Linked DNA regions of Arabidopsis thaliana. The protein of the gene in region 1 interacts with the protein of each later gene in a biochemical or structural test. Each region holds a gene or a part of one and is shown on either strand. Other genes may lie near its edges. The genes, in order: AT3G16270 and AT3G11130.

Region 1 (6,683 bases):
GTTCATTTAGTCAAGTTGTGTTCTTTTCTTCTCTTGTCAGTGCTTCGATTCGAATCTTGGTGAAAGCATTTCTGCTGAAAATCTCCTCAAGGTATTGAATGTTGCTTCAGTGCATCATTCCATATGAAACTTCCTTTCTTTAGCTCTTAAGTCTCTCGCTTTCTCTCATTGATATATTGTGGGCAGTTCACTTTGCGTCCACATGGTAATCTTGGGGTAGACAGATCTAGTATCCCTAGTCGATTAACAGCTTTACGAGTGATGGATGAGCTTCTTTCAGAAATTCCTGAAATCAGCAGTAAGACCGAAGAAATCAAGCAGTTATGGAATGGACAACACAACAAGATGATGATCGAAGAGCCATGGCTGGGTGAAAGCACTGTTCCAAGCTGTCTTGAAAACATTAGAAGAGACGACATGGAGATAGTTCTTTTGGGCACTGGTTCCTCCCAACCCTCAAAATACCGAAATGTCACGGCAATTTACATCGACCTATTCTCTAGAGGCAGTATTCTCTTGGATTGTGGGGAAGGTACCTTAGGCCAGCTTAAACGAAGATATGGTTTAGAAGGAGCTGATGAAGCAGTCAGAAACTTGAGATGTATATGGATCTCTCACATCCATGCTGATCACCATACGGGTCTTGCAAGAATCCTTGCTCGCAGACGTGAGCTTTTGAAAGGATTGGCTCATGAGCCAGCAATTGTGGTTGGACCGAGATCGCTTAAGAACTTTCTCGATGCATATCAAAGACTTGAGGATTTAGATATGGAGTTTCTCGACTGCAGGAACACCACAACAACATCTTGGGCTTCTGTAGAAACCAGCCGCCCTGAGAAAAATACCAGTAGCGGCAATGCAGAGGGTTCTTTGTTCAGTAAAGGAAGTCTAATGCAGAGTATATATAAAAGACCGAGCAGCCCACTGACAGACAATTCTTCAGCTTTACCATTCTTGAAGAAACTGAAAAAAGTCCTCGGCGAAATGGGGTTGGAGCATTTGATTAGCTTTCCTGTTGTGCATTGCCCTCAAGCCTTTGGGGTTTCGTTAAAAGCAGCAGAAAGAAAAAACATTGCCGGAGATGAGATTCCGGGGTGGAAAATGGTTTACTCGGGAGACACAAGGCCTTGTCCTGAGATGGTTGAAGCTTCAAAAGGAGCAACAGTTCTTATACATGAGGTGCTTTTCTATATAAGCAAAACTGTGTAAAACATTTACATCTCATTCTTAAAATTTACCATCTTTTCAAACTTATAACAGGCGACGTTTGAGGATGCGTTGGTAGAAGAAGCTGTGGCTAAAAACCATAGCACAACTAAAGAAGCAATCAAAGTTGGATCTTCAGCAGGTGTATACCGAACCGTACTGACACATTTTAGCCAGAGATACCCAAAGATCCCGGTGATTGACGAATCACATATGCACAATACATGCATTGCCTTTGATATGATGAGTATAAACATGGCGGATTTACATGTGCTTCCAAAGATTTTACCTTACTTCAAAACTCTATTCAGAAACCAAGTGGTTGAAGAAGAAGAAGAAGAAGAAGAGACTGATGATGATAGCTTAATACGTGACAAAGTCCCAAGCTTTTTCATCAATTAGTATATAGATTAGAATGTTCTGTTTTGTCCCCTGTTTTTGACTGTGTTGTATTGTCTTTAGAAATAATATCAATTTAATTGATTTTTCCTGTGAGTGTGACAGAGGAAATAAATCAGTTTCATGTGCATAATGTGAATTGTGAAAAAGAAATTAAAAAAAATCGGAACTTTGGGAAATAAGGAAAGACACCGAAGAACACACAACCATTCCTCTTTATTGACCGCTTCCTTCTTTCTCTGTCACATACGAATCGGTGAGTTTTTTTCTTCTCAATTTCTCCGTTCTCTGCTGATTTCTCCGAGGTTATTGATTCGATTCCGCTTGACGCATGATTGTGTTGTCTCAAGGGTCTAATTTTACCTCCGCGTTGATTGGTTTATAGGGGAAATTTGGATCCCGATCGTGATCTTTAGTTTGGTGAATTTGAGCTGGAATTGGAGCTTAAAGGATCGGTTTTTTGACTGATCTAATTGTTTTGAGGATCGGTCTTTCATAAAGTTGTTGTCTTTGAAGCTTTTTTGACTGGTGAGGACGAAAAAGTTGTGATTTTGGGAATTAGGGTTGTTTTGTTTCGAATTCGCCATGGATACGAGCAGGAGAGCTGTGGAATCGTATTGGAGGTCGCGGATGATAGATGCGGTTACGTCTGATGAGGACAAAGTTGCGCCTGTGTACAAATTGGAAGAGATCTGTGACCTCCTTCGTTCTTCTCATGTCAGCATCGTCAAGGAGTTTTCTGAATTCATTTTGAAACGTCTTGATAACAAAAGCCCCATTGTTAAGCAGAAGGTATTTTCAATTACGTTTGTTTTCTGTTTTTGATTGTGAAATGTTGTTCCTTTGTGAGACATTTGTTTTCCATGAAGATTTTGATTGAAATGTTTGCATGTCGGGATTGATTTAGATTGTAGGTAGATGTTTGTTTTTTCTTAGAATGGATCAAAGAGAAAGCTTTATGTGTTTGATTATAGCGTAGAGTTTGTTTATAGGGAGACGTAGAATGGATCTTATTGTGGCTAAAAGCTCTGTAGGAACTGGTTATACTGATTTTGGTTATTATATGTATATACAGGCTCTTAGGTTGATAAAGTATGCTGTGGGAAAGTCTGGCTCAGAGTTTAGACGAGAAATGCAAAGGAATTCGGTTGCAGTGCGCAATCTATTCCATTACAAGGGGCATCCAGATCCTTTAAAAGGAGATGCACTTAATAAGGCTGTACGGGAAACTGCTCATGAAACAATTTCTGCTATATTCTCAGAAGAGAATGGTACTAAACCAGCTGCTCCTGAAAGCATCAACAGACGCATTGAAGGATTCGGGAATACTAACTTTCAGGTGCCCTCTAATGATAATAAATCGTTCCTTAGTGAGGTGGTGGGTATTGGAAGTGCATCTATAAAGCAAGGAATCAGTAATTTTGCTCAAGGCCATTTGCCAAAGAAGAATGAGAATGGCAGCAGCAGCTACAGAGGTCCAAATCTCCACAGATCATTAACTATGGAAAATGAGAACTTCAGTAGATATGATCCAGTTAAGCTGGGGAAGGATGGTAACTACGGAACGTCTAAGAACACGACTGGTGGATCTTGGGGCCACGCTTCCGGAGAAGCAAGTGAAAGTTCTGCTTCAGTTCGTGTTGAGAGCAAAACTCGTGAGGAAAAGCTGCTGGAAACCATTGTTACATCTGGTGGTGTACGCCTGCAGCCAACTCGTGATGCTCTTCATGTTTTCATTTTAGAGGCTGCAAAAATGGACGCTGTTGCTTTAAGCATTGCTCTTGACGGGAAGCTCCATTCTCCAATGTGGCAGGTATGTTTATGATTATTTCCTAGTCACCTCCTTGTGAAACTGTTTGATGCTACTAATGTACTTTTTTCTTGATTATATCATCTGTATTTTCTTTTCCCTGGCTTGTTTCTTCTGTAGCGTTAATCTTCCCACTTTTGTACTTTGAAAGTAACTGTGTTTTTCTGTTTGGCAGGTTCGGATGAAAGCTTTATGTGTCCTTGAGGCCATTTTGAGGAAGAAGGAAGATGAGAATTTTTCAATTGTACATACCTATTTTAGTGAAAACTTGGATGCCATACAGCGGTGCGCAGAGTCTCCACAATCTTCCCTTCGAGAAAAGGCGAACAAGGTAAGCTTCTGCTTGTTATAACCATTCACAAAACTCTTTTTTGGCATTATGCTAATTTGTTGGTTAACTCGAGATACCGATGTTGTGTAGGTTCTGAGCCTTCTAAATGGTGGACAGTCAAGTGGGTTGATGAGCAGCTCTGATAATACTGTGAAGCGAGAGGCTGCTGTTGATTTACCTGACTTGATTGACACCGGTGATTCAGACGATACTTTGAACAATCTGAATGCTATAGATACTGGCAGTACAGTGGCGACAGCAGGTCCATTGATGGATGATGATTGGTTTGGGGATAGCTCTGACATTGGACTGAGTAGCAGCGAGAAGAAAACTGATGACGACCCCTTTGCAGATGTCTCATTTCATCCGAATGAAGAAAAAGAAAGTGCAGATGACCTCTTCTCTGGAATGACTGTCGGGGAAAAGTCCGCTGCTGTTGGTGGTAATCATGTGCCTGATCTATTTGATATGTTTGGGTCAACTGCAAAACTTGAAGCAGAGCCAAAAGATGCAAAAAACATTAATGATTTGATGGGAAGTTTCTCCATTGACGAAAACAATTCAAATCAGAAAGGCTCGTCTTCAAGCACTCTTCCACAGGATTTATTTGCAATGCCGAGCACCACCAGCCACCAAGCACCGGAAAATCCTGTTGGAGGCATTCTTGGCTCACAAAATCCTGGGTTTATTCAAAACACAATGCTTCCTGGAGGTGTTATGCCATTCAATTTTCCTCAAGGGATGATGATGAATCCAGCTTTTGCATCCCAACCTTTGAATTACGCTGCCATGGCAAGCTTGTTAGCTCAGCAGCAGCAGTACCTTGGTAATATGTCCAACTTCCAGCAGTTCGGCAATCTGAACGCTCAGGGTAGCGGAAATGTTCTTTCTATGGGTACAAGTGGAGGGAATCAGTCCGCACTCCCTGATATATTCCAGCCAAATTTTGGTAATCAGGCTCCAACCTCAACAATGAATGGTTCGAAAAAAGAAGATACCAGAGCCTTCGATTTCATTTCTGTAAGTTTTGCCATCTTGCTCCTGATCTTTGATTCTAAAGTTTGGTCAATCTGCCATTTGTCTTTGTACATGTGACATCAAATCTCACACACATAATGTCTAGCTCGATTAAAACCACCTAAACATAGTCAGACTAGATCTACTTTTGTGGCATAGTTAAAAAACCTTCGTTTGATGTACATACACTCATGGAGCAACTACATAAATGTTTGTGTGATGCAGGATCATCTTACATCAGCCCGCGACACAAAGAGAGTATCTTGATGGTTGCTTACAAAATTCCGCCTTCCAGTGTTAAATGCTATTTCATGAGATGTGGACACAAGGGTGCAGGAAGCTAAAACATTAATTTATGAGAGCTGTATAGACTTGAGGAGAAAATGGAGATAGCTTTATAATTCATATGGTAAGGGTTTTTGCTTCTTTTATCTGTTTCCTCGTTTTGTCTTTGGTTTTTCTTCTTCTTTGGAGTCCATTGTTCTTGGCATGAACATGTAGTTGTAGAGTTGCTTTTTGTTTGTTACTAGATGTGTTTATTTTGTTCCGTTGCTATATATTATATCTGAAGAGACTTGTGTCTGTGTATCGAACGTAGACAAGAAAGGAAATGAAACTGAGAAAGGAAATGCATATGAATAGTTTAAAGACTTCAAGTCAAGTCCAGTTGTTTTTGCGTTTCTTAATTAGAAAATTTTGTTGATGGAGAAAAACGAAAGCCAGGGATAATTTTGTTTAATCGTGATGTCTGTTACAATTTGGAGTAGTTAATAAAATAAGGTAGATCTAATCTAAGTGGCTGCAATGAGCTTTTTTTTTCTCACACGTTAAACTTGGTCCATATTCTCAGCATTGCCTGTTATACTGGTTTGCTCATTTTAAATTGGCGTTACTTATTTTAGGATACATCCATTGGTCAAGTGTTTGCATTGGTGTAGATATTTTCATACGATAAGAAAGAAAGAAAGCTAATAATTTCTCAATCTATTTAGGTGAAACTATTCAGAGTTTGATTAATGAGAGAAAAAGGAAATGATGCCCCTTTATTTTCTTACCTGAAGTTTAATAAGAATGCATCTTTTGTGTACTTTCTACCAACGGTAAAGATTGAAAAAAATGGTGGAAGTTACTTTTCTTATCTTTTTAAAAAGTGGTAACGGGAAAATGACGAGTGACATCCTCATTACATAAATCCAATTAATAAGATTTTGAGGTTCCCATACTGTGTAAATATAAAAATAAAGAATGAATAAAAATACCTCAACGGGCAGATTGATAGTGACATATGGAAGTAACTTTAGACTCTCCAAGTCTCTCTCAAATAGGAAACGAAGGAGACATTGAGATTATTTTTTAGAAAGTTAATAAACGATCTCTTCTGTAAATCTTTTCTTTTTACATTCTCTGCATCTTTTATGCTTCTTTGTTGGCAAATCCATCCTCAGTTTTATTTCGTTTAAAAAATTATCAATATGGTCAAATGTATATTACATATAATAGGTGTAGATATATTTTTTTTTTTTTTGGATTTTTATAAAATCTTCATGATAATTGAAAGATGGGTAGGCTAAATGTCACTTAAAATGGAGCGTCTAATTTCATTAGTCAAATTAAGTATTTATTTTCTTTGATAGTTTGACACATTTCCACCAAATTAATTAGCCTTTGAAATAAGAAATAGTATGCTTGTTGACAAAAATTAAAAGAAAGAAATAGTCTAATTCCACCCAAAACAAAGAACAATCAAAATAATCTAAAAACAAGAACACAATAATAATAGTATGCAGTTGTAAAATCAAAATCACAATTTACTCATATGTATATGGAAAAAAATAAAAAAAATACTATACAGTTTTAAGAGTCTAATTTGGTACGATTGACGGTTGTAATAATTACTATTGATTCTCACATCCAAAAACC
Region 2 (4,882 bases), 2.0 Mb from region 1:
TTTTGTTGTTTGTTTACAGTATCAGATAAGGGAACAGAAGTATTGTTTGCTAACCGAGTCTGGTTGGGTGTCCGTTTTACCCCGAGTTGACTCGGTTCTTGTGACGTTGGGTGACATTGCTCAGGTTAGTTCTCTTTTGCTTTTGACAATTGACAGAACACATATATCTCTTTTATTTATCTATAATTAATTGGTTAGTTGTCTTCCTTAAATAATTATCAAATTATCATCCTTTGTAATGGAACTTTATTCCACTATACCGTTAACTGGCTGTTTTAATGTATTTTAAACATTATCCAAAATAAATGTTTTCCAACGCATCGTTCAAAAAGAGAACAAGAATTTGGATATTTCCGATATTTATTGTTGACAACAACAACAATTGTGGAGCATAACCGGGGAATGTGTTTTCACTTTTCGTTTGAAACAGATTTATGGCATTGGGAAAGAAATAAGAATTTGGAAATTTCCGATATTTAAATACTTATACACATCACATCGCAATTGTACTTAGTGTCCTATAGAATTCAACAATTCTTTTTTTTTTAGGTCAAAACCTAACAGCTTTCTACAATATAGTTTTCAACTTTTGAACAGCTAACAAACAACTTAAAATTGGCAGGTTTGGAGAAATGGAGAGGTCAAAAGAGTGAAATATCGACCAGTGTTGTGTTCAGGACAAAAAGATGGTCCAGTAAAGTGTGTAACAATGACATTGATGCTTACACTTCCCATGGACAGTATGGTTTCATCATTGAAGGATATGATCAGTGACGGCGACAAAGAAGAAGAGTATGCAGAGGAGGAGGAAGAAGATGGAGGAGCAAGAAGTGATGAGAGAAGGGCATTTAGGCCTTTTAGTTTCAAGGAGTACGCATGGAGAGTGTACCAAGAACGTCTCTTCTTCAGGGATCCACTTGACAGATACAGAATCAAATCTTTAAAAGATTGACGAACCGATGTTTGATTTGTTTGTTTCTTTCTTGGGTTGAATTGGTACTATAGTTCTTGTTGTTACTTTTTTTCCCCCATAAAATCTTTTGATTTTCAGCGGATTGTTAGCATTTTAGCATTGAGATATTTTTGTTTTTGTTCGATTCAGTTCAGAGAATGTTCTATTTTGATAGTCACTCCATCATTCAACTAATTTTTTCATATATACTCATATCAAAACTGTCACTATTTCAAAATCAAACTTTTAGGTTACACCAATGACTCTATCACACTAAACTCAACTCCTAGATTTTATATAGAAGAATCTATGACTTTGATGATGTACTTTAAAACTGAGTCTTTTGAGATCATAACCAAATTCTACTTCATAACTTTTGTTTTCCAATGTTGATTATTTGTTATAATTAGAAGGTGACACAAACGCTTATAGCATCCTGTTTTTGAAAATGAGGAAATACAGTGTTGGCTTTTAATCTCTCATTGAGGCAGAATATCAATGAATGACTTCAAATCTACGTATACATGTTTACTTATTTAGTGATCCATATTGGTGTTGCTCTTTAATTTTCTTGTGAGAATGAATTATATACATCAAAATTGATTATATCATTTAATTCGAGTTAAAATTATAAGTAATACAATCTTCACTAAACACTAATTAAATCGACGTAAATTTCTTATACGATTTTTTCATGCAACACTTAAATCGACATAAATTTAAATATTTTGGTCTTCATACCCTAATTTTGATAAGATATAATAGAAAATTTCGTATATCTTTTTTTTTTTTTGGTAAAAAGTTTTTTTTTTTTTGTTTCATCTCCATATTTAGAAAATTTATTTCAAACTTCGTTCTCGTTTGTGTTCATCTTAATTTTTAACCATGATTGAGTCATTGACCATTGCTCAAAACATACGCATAAAATTCCCAAAAAGTAGTGTGTGTCGTGACAAAACCCGACCCGTCGATTTACGCGGTTTGAAACTCGACCCGAATACTATCCGAACCCGTAACTTTGGCAAAAGCACATCGTACAGCTCAGGCACTTGTAGCACGTCGTCTCTCCTTTGGTTTCTCTCCTTATATTCGACGAGTGACTCCGATTGGATCGCTATTTCGTCATTTCTCACTTTCCAAAAAGAAAAAAACGAATCTCTCTCCACCATCATCACCTTTCTCCTTCACTTGCCTCAGATCTGGCTGCGATTTCAAATCTTCCTTAGTTTCTCTCGCATCGCTCGGCCGTTGACGGTCCCGTCCTTTCCGTGGATCTGATTCTGGCCCCGGATTCTCTCGCCGCGATCTGAGGTCAAACATGGCGGCTGCTAACGCGCCCATCATTATGAAGGAGGTCCTAACGGTGAGTTCTCTGTTTTTAAATCTCCGGGAATCGAGCTAAAATTTTGGACGATTAACATGTTTCTATAGTTGTAGTCTCTGATTTCTATCGATTTGGTTCTGCTCACACTGTTATATGATTGATTCAAGTTTCATTCTGTTCTCAATTCTACCCGATCGTTGAGATCAAGTTCTCTGATCAGATTTTCTCTGCGGACGCTCAGATCTGTGTTATCTGAATGTATATAGTCCTTAGTTTTAAGTTATTGTGTTGCGCAATGTGCTTATCTACTCGGATCTTGTAACTAAGTTAATGAACTATGCCAATTGATTACTTTTGTTTTGGAAATTTTCCAGCTTCCGAGCGTTGGGATCGGTCAACAGTTCATCACCTTTACAAATGTTACTATGGAGTCTGATAAGTACATATGTGTACGAGAGACGGCACCGCAGAACAGTGTTGTAATTATCGATATGAATATGCCGATGCAGCCTTTAAGGAGGCCTATAACTGCTGATTCTGCTCTTATGAACCCAAACTCGAGGATCCTTGCCTTAAAAGGTATTACACTGTTTCCTTCGATCGCATTATCACTTATAACACCCATAAGATTCTCCTTTTGAAGTGTATGATCAGTTATAAGACCCATAAGTGGTTCCTATTAAAGTTTTCTCCAGAACTACCATTGATAGCTTCTCCTTCATTTTGTTAACTGTACATATGCTATTTATTACGGATAGGATGTTTTGATTTATTTGAAGTTTAAATGACTCTGTCCATGTTGTGATGCGTCACTTGATAGAAAACCTATTTTTATTAAAGTAGTATGGAAGTGTAACTACACTCTTCGAGTTTATGTTGTAGTCCTATACTCTTTTTCTGGATTTGGGGTGATAGCATGTTTAATGCTGTAGAAAACATCAGTATAGCGCTCTCTGTTTTCCAACACGTGTTATATTTCTCGTGGCAGTGTTGTGTCTCAAGCTTAGTGTAGTTAAACTAGAAATTTTGGTTTGTACTGGATGTTTCCTTGTATAAGCTATTACTTATTTCTTCCTTAATTTGTTGTTAACTTTTTCTTAAATTCGTATCGTATATAGCTCAAGTTCCAGGAACTACTCAGGATCATCTACAGATATTTAACATTGAAGCAAAGGCAAAGTTGAAGTCACATCAGATGCCTGAGCAGGTGAATTTTGAAGCAAACAAATTGTAACCCGATTATCTTTCATGTTGTACTCTTCAGACAGACTCTGATTTTACTGGTCTGAATTTTTTGGATATTATAGGTTGCTTTTTGGAAGTGGATCACACCTAAGATGCTGGGACTGGTCACACAAACTTCTGTGTATCATTGGTCAATTGAAGGTTTTATATCTTTAACTTACTGTCAGCTTCTTCATATCATGTATATGTTGTTTCTCATTTTTGCTTCGATATTTCCAGGTGATTCTGAGCCAGTTAAGATGTTTGATAGAACGGCTAATTTGGCAAACAATCAAATTATAAACTATAAGTGCTCTCCTAATGAGAAGTGGTTGGTCTTGATTGGAATTGCCCCTGGCTCTCCTGAGGTAGGGTTCCTGCACCACGTATTAGGTTGAATTAAGACATCATAACGGCAGTCATGTTGTATATTTTTGACGGAATCTTGTCATTATTATCCTCTGTAGAGACCACAATTGGTGAAAGGAAATATGCAGCTTTTCTCTGTGGATCAACAGCGGAGCCAGGCCCTTGAAGCACATGCTGCATCTTTTGCTCAGTTTAAGGTAAACTATGTGATACCTTTGCTACTTCATTCCATGGTCGGATCTTGAACTGTAGTATGACAAGCGACATTATTATTGATAGGTCCCTGGGAATGAGAATCCTTCGATTCTTATATCATTTGCAAGCAAGAGCTTTAATGCTGGGCAGATAACATCAAAGCTGCATGTTATTGAACTTGGTGCCCAACCAGGTTAGCTTAAACTACTGCTCTATATTTTCATGGTTATTGTTAGTTGGTATTAGTCTGATGTTTAAAGGTGGGCGGCTTTTTTTCAGGGAAACCATCATTTACAAAAAAGCAGGCAGATCTCTTTTTCCCCCCAGATTTTGCTGATGATTTTCCTGTGGCCATGCAGGTTTGTAGTTGCATTAGCTGTTCAATTAACTTCAGTAAGTTTCTTGTGAAAAATTCATGACACCGACTTCTCTTTCTCCCAACAGGTCTCTCACAAGTTTAACTTGATTTATGTCATCACCAAGCTTGGCCTGCTGTTTGTATATGATCTAGAGACAGCTTCTGCTATCTACAGAAATCGGATAAGTCCGGACCCAATTTTCTTAACGTCTGAAGCTTCCTCAGTTGGGGGTTTCTATGCCATTAATAGGCGAGGACAAGTTCTTTTGGCAACAGTAAATGAGGCCACCATAATACCTTTTATTAGTGGTCAAGTATGTTCAACTTTTACTTTGTTCTTCTCTATATAATCTATCTATTCATCATGACATGCTAAGAAATCTATGCCTTTATATTACAGTTGAACAATTTGGAACTTGCTGTCAATCTTGCTAAAAGAGGAAACCTCCCTGGTGCAGAA

Evidence for each region.
Region 2: the proteins of AT3G16270 (region 1) and AT3G11130 form a complex in vitro, tested with the Arabidopsis thaliana proteins (one study listed by BioGRID).

What each region holds. Positions count from the first base shown.
Region 1 is NC_003074.8:5,511,511-5,518,193, forward strand, and holds AT3G16270 (ENTH/VHS family protein), read left to right. Parts: upstream 1-1,762; 5' UTR 1,763-1,861; exon of another isoform or gene 1,862-1,990; 5' UTR 1,991-2,190; coding exon 2,191-2,397; intron 2,398-2,680; coding exon 2,681-3,418; intron 3,419-3,590; coding exon 3,591-3,746; intron 3,747-3,836; coding exon 3,837-4,766; intron 4,767-4,988; coding exon 4,989-5,030; 3' UTR 5,031-5,172; exon of another isoform or gene 5,173-5,422; intron 5,423-5,755; 3' UTR 5,756-6,096; downstream 6,097-6,683. Other genes in the region: TRZ4 (tRNAse Z4), read left to right, coding at 41-91, 187-1,179, 1,261-1,608. UniProt on the Arabidopsis thaliana protein: Mediates clathrin-dependent trafficking of vacuolar cargo from the trans-Golgi network (TGN). Promotes plant growth.
Region 2 is NC_003074.8:3,489,056-3,493,937, reverse strand, and holds the start of AT3G11130 (Clathrin, heavy chain), read left to right. Parts: upstream 1-1,872; 5' UTR 1,873-2,270; coding exon 2,271-2,315; intron 2,316-2,650; coding exon 2,651-2,855; intron 2,856-3,394; coding exon 3,395-3,483; intron 3,484-3,583; coding exon 3,584-3,662; intron 3,663-3,740; coding exon 3,741-3,868; intron 3,869-3,967; coding exon 3,968-4,066; intron 4,067-4,148; coding exon 4,149-4,257; intron 4,258-4,343; coding exon 4,344-4,423; intron 4,424-4,508; coding exon 4,509-4,736; intron 4,737-4,822; coding exon 4,823-4,882. Other genes in the region: AT3G11150 (2-oxoglutarate (2OG) and Fe(II)-dependent oxygenase superfamily protein), read left to right, coding at 1-124, 623-952. UniProt on the Arabidopsis thaliana protein: Clathrin is the major protein of the polyhedral coat of coated pits and vesicles. Mediates endocytosis and is required for a correct polar distribution of PIN auxin transporters.